Linked DNA regions of Drosophila melanogaster. The protein of the gene in region 1 interacts with the protein of each later gene in a pairwise test. Each region holds a gene or a part of one and is shown on either strand. Other genes may lie near its edges.

Evidence for each region.
Region 2: the proteins of CG43208 (region 1) and CG6180 interact in a two-hybrid assay, tested with the Drosophila melanogaster proteins (one large-scale study listed by BioGRID).

What each region holds. Positions count from the first base shown.
Region 1 is NT_033777.3:13,301,526-13,304,543, reverse strand, and holds CG43208 (uncharacterized protein), read right to left. Parts: upstream 1,119-3,018; 5' UTR 1,080-1,118; coding exon 1,052-1,079; intron 987-1,051; coding exon 793-986; 3' UTR 688-792; downstream 1-687. Other genes in the region: CG8774 (uncharacterized protein), read right to left, coding at 2,313-2,988.
Region 2 is NT_033779.5:12,705,945-12,709,516, forward strand, and holds CG6180 (uncharacterized protein), read left to right. Parts: upstream 1-1,716; 5' UTR 1,717-1,826; coding exon 1,827-2,600; 3' UTR 2,601-2,736; downstream 2,737-3,572. Other genes in the region: spict (spichthyin), read left to right, coding at 1-503; CG15484 (uncharacterized protein), read right to left, coding at 965-1,585; CG5787 (uncharacterized protein), read right to left, coding at 3,309-3,365, 3,431-3,572.

The DNA.
Region 1 (3,018 bases):
GCTAACAAAATGTTTGTCATCGCAAGATATACCTTAAAATTACTCACCTATCTACTCCATCGGCATTCGTGTAGTTGCTGATGTAGCTGCCCACCAGACTGCTCAGATCGCAGTCGAAACTTGCGGACAGTGTGTAGGCCTTGTTCATACTGAGGACCTCTCTTAGCGTGATCAGGAGCAGCTCCCGGGACTCATCCAAGTTGATGCTATCGATGGCCACGCGTATGCGCGCCATCATGTTCAGGATGCTGATGCTGTGCACATTGAGCTCCTTGGCGTGCAGGACGATCAGGTTGGTGATCGCGTTCAGCTGGAACTGAATGGACACGGTTCCCTCACAGGCGCCGGTCGTCAAGTCGGGATGGTAGTACACCTTGTACTTGATGGGCGTCAGTTCCGTGGGCAGGCGCCATTCGATCTGCGGGGTCGTAAAGTTTATTTAATATCCACGCCATCGATAATGGGCTTTGGCCCTATTAAGTGAGCAATGCGTTGATAAGGTGGCGATAGGAAATAGCACTGTTGTGGTCAGGTCGTAAACCAAGTGGACGTCGTTGCAACAAATATGCCTTAGCTGGATATAGTGGCTAAATGTTGTGAAATTAGGGTCCTAATTTATTAGGTGCAATTTCAGATATCAAACAACAATAGCTCTACTACACAAATATTGAAACCTAAGCGTATTTTGGTTTCTTATCCGTTTGCCTTTATTGCTTTATTGCTTTAACCATTTTTGGAAATAGATATGGATTTGAAAGCCATCTTTTTGAATGTTTGCCAGCACCCTAATTCTTATGAATTTCTTTCCGAAATGGTGGACAACAAGTGGCTTTGAATGTATTCCTCCAGAACATCCAACATCCTTTTGGCTTCGTCCAACTGCAGCAATAAATTATCCCTGTGGACGGCCACAATGACAAGGGCAACGATCAAGCAGGTCGATAATAGACCAAAGAATATAGCCACGCGCTCAGCGGTGATCAAGTCTATGAAAATATACATGAATCGGTATCGGTGTTTTCCCAAAACTTCCTTCGTTATCAATAAATACCCTTAATCCTGTCCTGCATGTGTCCCATTTTTGTGGCTCCTAACACTGCGTTAGCCGCAATTAAACTAACTTAAAAGACCCAAGAAATTAGACCCGTTTTGTATTATGATAAAAAAGAGGAAAAAAAACGCTAGCCAAGCGATAAGCACTTGAAATGACCAGTAAGACTAAGTTGGAACTTAATAAATTCGAAATTAGTAGCCATGCCGACTTTACGTCTAATCGCTGAAAATTTTCCCACTCTGTGTGAGGGTTTTTCTGAACTAACATCTTTTATAGCCGTGAAATATATTTTTCTTGCACTTCACTCACCTTTTCAGGATCAGGAAGTCCTGTCGGCAATGTCGGATAGATGGGATTGGTGGTGCTTCCTGTACTGGATGATGGCGAAGTTTCACCACCCGGAGATGTTCCTGCACTGGGGGTTGTGTCACCTCCTACGCCAGGTGTGGTGGTAGAGCCAGGCTCGGTGTCATCCGTGGGCCCATTGGGATTTGCAGTGGTGGTGGTCGTGGAAGTGCTGGTAGAGGTGGAGGACGTGGACGTGGTGTCCACCGTCAATGCGTCGATCTTATCGAGGGCATCCTGCAGATCGTTCTCCAGGTCCGCATTCTGAACGGCCAGCACAATCGTGGCCACACAAAAAGCAGTAGAGGCCAGGCCCAAAAAGATGGCCACTGACTTAACCGTCAGCCCTAAAATGAGTTCACATTAGTTACTGTTCCTTCGGGATATGCTACTCTATATAGAAGACTCACAGGCAACCATTTTTAGGGATATTCTTTTTTCGATGAAAATTACTCGACTGCTTCCACTAGGCTGGAAGCCAAATTGGAAACTGAATGCAAGTTGCGAATCTGACCCCACAATTTGGACTTGATAAACCTGATCAGATTGCTGACCGATATCTAGACTATATACTATATAGCTTCGTGTCCAGATAAAATCGTTTTATGCTAGACCATTACTTTTACGATTCGAACAAGGCCATATATCGACTATTATGACTGGACACTCTAATTACTCAGGATAATTACGCATGGTCATGATTCCGCATTGACCATATACTCAAAGACCCTATCTCCAATTATTTCCTAGAAGCTATAGAAATCCCCACTTGCCTCGGATAAAATGAATGAAAATATGGGGGTTGTATTTATGGTTTGATTTTGAAATTTCATTTTATTGAACTCGAACGGAATTTTCGCTTATGCAACTCTAATTATTGGCTAAATGGCCAGTTTATATACAATATACAATTTTACAATTGGTTTTTCTTGGTCAGCGGCGAGGCCGTTCCACTTAGCCAGTCGGTGATGTCAGCTTCGTTTCTGGATAGCCATTCGATGTTGTACTTGATGGTTTCCACGGCCTCCAACCGGGAGTTAGCTCCAGCTCCCGATTCGGGGTACTTGGAGAAGAAGTGCTGAACCTCCTCCAGTTTCACGGAGCTGGCAAAGTTGGCCGTAATCTGGGCGATAAGTCGTCCAAAGTTGCGGTTGTTCAGGCCAAAACGGGTGGTGAGTTGGGGCCACTGTTCGCGGTAGAATTCCCAGACCACCGGTTCACCCACAGGATTGGCGGCTATGTACTGCACACAGGTGAAATAGTCCTGGGAGCGAACGATGCTCTCATCACTGGAGGCCTGTGCCAGGAAGTCGAACAGATACTGGCTGTTCCGTACGCCAGACAATCCGTACATCAGCTTCAGTTTCTCGCTGGCATCGGTTTCGGCCACAAAGAGTTGGAACAACTGATCCCAGCTCGATTGGCTGGTGGACTGCTGCATGCCGTAGTAGTAGACAATCTCGCGAAGATCGGGGGAAGGTCGAGTGGTCGGATTCTCCAGGAAGGTGCTGAAGCGCTCGGAAGCCTGCTGCAGACAATCTGGAACACCCAGGGCACAGGCGGCGGTCAAAATGGAAACACGCAGGCGGCTGCAAAGGAATAAAGATTGTTTGAATAAC
Region 2 (3,572 bases), on another chromosome or scaffold:
TGTGCTCCGGCATCGGATCTCTGACTGTGATGTCCTGCAAGGCATTGGGCCTAGCCATACGGCAGACGCTGAATAACGGAGGCAACGTCTTCCTCACATGGATGCCATGGTTCCTGATCCTGGTCACCGTCACTTTCATAGCCATCCAGATGAACTATCTGAACAAGGCGCTGGATATATTCAATACTAGTATAGTTACTCCAGTGTACTATGTAATGTTCACCACCCTGGTGATAGCTGCGTCTGCCATCCTCTTCAAGGAGTTCACCCACATGCGGTTCGATGATATTCTCGGCGATGTGTGCGGCTTCCTGATCGTTATCACAGCTGTGTTCCTGCTCAACGCGTTCAGAGATATTGATATATCGCTGAACGATGTACGTGGACTGATGCGACCGAAAATGCAGCGGGTGTCGCAGTTCGACGAGGAGGTGCTGGTCACCAGCAATACCAAGGAACGGCGGCTGTCCTACGGATCCAGCGACATCTTCCGGAAGGCCTGACACAAGCAGCGCTACCAGGTCTAGTTACATCCCTTGCAGCGGCTGACCTGAAGACAAGGTTGCTTTACTCCGTAAACGAGGCATTGGTCCAAATATCTGTGCATATCACCTGCAATCACTTTCATCTCATCATTTCCATTTATTGTTCCTTCACTCTTGTTATTCATACATTCGCTAGCATAAGCACATAGGTTTAGGTTACACTTACATATATTAAACACGACTTAATGAAAACGATTTGTAATTGTAGTTTTATTTTTTGATTTTTGATATGATATTCGTATCTATGTATTACTAAAAAAAAACCATTAAAATATTCTACTACATTGGTAAATGTAGGTCGTTCCAAATCGAACGACAATATTCATTGCAAATAATGTGAGTACATGCTCAATCGGATTTAGTAAAATAAATCTTCAAGTTATTTTCAAGGTTTGTTAGTTAGTAATTTAATGAAGTATCTATGTATTCTGAATTTCGCCCTTGCTGGTCTTATCTGGATATTTTAATCCGTTCAGCCAGATGCAGTTGCTCAGACTTTTAGCGGTGTGAAATGAGTCATCGGCTGAGTTATCCGGACTGTTCTCCACTGGCGGAAGATCCTTTGGTCTACGAATCTTTCGTGGCGTGAAGAAGTCGCGATCTGTGATTAAAGGAAATCGCTGGCTTTCATTTGGAGCAACCGCAGGTAAGCTGATCTGCGGCTGGAGTGTCAGTGAGTCCTGTTTCAGGGTCATTCTTCCGAAGTTCCGGATGATGGCAATCGCCTCCACGTCCACCATTGTGGTGTCCTCCCAGTCCTCCATTGTGGCGTGCTCTCCCAGCGGCTTGGTGCCAGCTACTCTCTGAATCGTCTCCATCATTTGCAGACTTTGACGAATCTCTCGGCCCTTTCCACCCCGCGTGCCATATCCAAGCAGATCCTCGCGGGCTGTCAAAAGCTCATAGGTATGAATGGGAACGGATTCTGAGAATTCCTCTTTCTTCCTCAGTTCATAGGCGATCTGTCCATGGACCAGATTAAAGTGCGGCTCCAACTGCACCAGATCGTGCTCGAATCGTGATGTGGGAACCCAAGCCATGATGATTTCAGTTGCTTATAGTATTCTCACAGCCTTATTTTCATTTCCCGGAAATGCTTTTCTCAAGTAGACTGCGCAAATATTTTCGAAGATTAGAAATTCAAAATCACACATTCCTATCGATAGCGATAAAAACGTTTAAACGCTTACAGGTGAATCGCAACTTATCGATTGTCAGTCGGCAAATAGAACAATAAACAGTTTTTTAATTAATCCAATTTGGTTTACTTAAGCAATAAGGATGATTTGTATGCGGCTCCGGGTGTTGCGTAATCTCAATCGCAGCGCTTTAAATGGATTTAGAAAAGATTACATCCGATCAACCGGTGTGAATGTCAATTATTCAGCTGTCAACTTTCCGGCCGCCATTAGAACGCTGAAAACTTTTAGCAATTCTATCCTAACCAAGGAACCGAAACCAATCTTTGCATTTATCGCATCTCAGCGGCAGTATTCTTGCGAAAAAGTAGGCAAAACAATGGAGGAGCACTGCGTAGTTCCGGATGTGATCGCCAAGGCACCGGCGCAGACAGCTGTGGTGGAATATCCCGGCGATATTGTCGTGAAGCCGGGTCAGGTCCTGACCCCCACCCAGGTGAAGGATGAGCCGTGCGTGAAATGGGAGGCGGACGCCAATAAGCTGTACACCCTCTGCATGACCGATCCGGATGCGCCCAGTCGCAAGGATCCCAAGTTTAGGGAGTGGCACCATTGGCTGGTGGGCAACATACCCGGTGGAGATGTCGCCAAGGGCGAGGTTCTCTCCGCCTACGTGGGATCCGGGCCTCCACCAGACACCGGACTCCATCGTTACGTTTTCCTGATCTACGAGCAGCGGTGCAAGCTCACATTCGACGAGAAGCGACTGCCCAATAACAGCGGAGATGGACGCGGTGGCTTCAAAATCGCCGAGTTCGCCAAGAAGTACGCCCTCGGCAATCCCATTGCCGGTAACCTCTACCAGGCTGAGTACGACGACTATGTGCCCATCCTCTACAAGCAGCTGGGCGCTTAGTTTCTACGCCAAAAACCATGCTTATATAAGCCAGTCTGAATTGGATTCAAATCTATTGTAACCTAGAAATTAAAGACACCTATGAACACTCTGTGAAACCCTCTGTTGCTGGCAATAAAATTGTTAAAGACATATTAACTAAGCCACTGTATCTTATTACACATTTTCAATATTTTCATATCTTATCTTGTTAATTTGTCTGAAGTAATAATTCGGTTACCCTTTGCTGAGGCAAAACAGTTTCTGTGCTGGTTATGTATTTATTATTCATTCCAATTACAATCTACTTCTTTATCAATAGGATTCTTCTAGCGTCATTTGTATACATACAGATTTCATGAACTTGAGTTTATATCTCGCCAAAATACATGCTTTGAAGATACAAGACATAATTGCTATCGGACCTTCCAAATAGGAAGAACGTTTCTGATCAGTATTATAGTTATTTCCCAGGGCGCAAGAGACGCCCATCTGGGTAAGTTATTTATTTGTAAAAGCATTGCGACATAATTACAATCTACTTCTTAAAGTCAAGAGGATGGTTCTTCATGTGTGCAATAATAAAGGTCTCTAATACAACTAGATGCAGACTCATACAATCCATAAAATAATGCTGAAGAAGAACCCACGCTCTATTTCCTCCTTTGATGGGTCCAGTGCATATTCGGCTGTTGAGAAGGAGGGGAGGTGTCTAGTTTCCAAATTACTTTACTCTATAGAGGGAAAGACAGTGCGATGGTCTTTCCATTCGGTTTCGCTGATTGCCTATAAAAAGCAAGGTCGGAGTTAGTTAGTATGAAATAGGCTGCATGACTATGTTACCAACTTACCACTAGCTCGTCGAAAGCCTGTTTGGCCAGCCAGTGGAAGCATGGACTCTTCCATTCGCGCGCAATCGCCTGCTGATCCTTGACGTCGTCCTCGGCGGTGGACTTGGAATTGGTAATGGCCTTGTACTTGGCCCACAGGAAG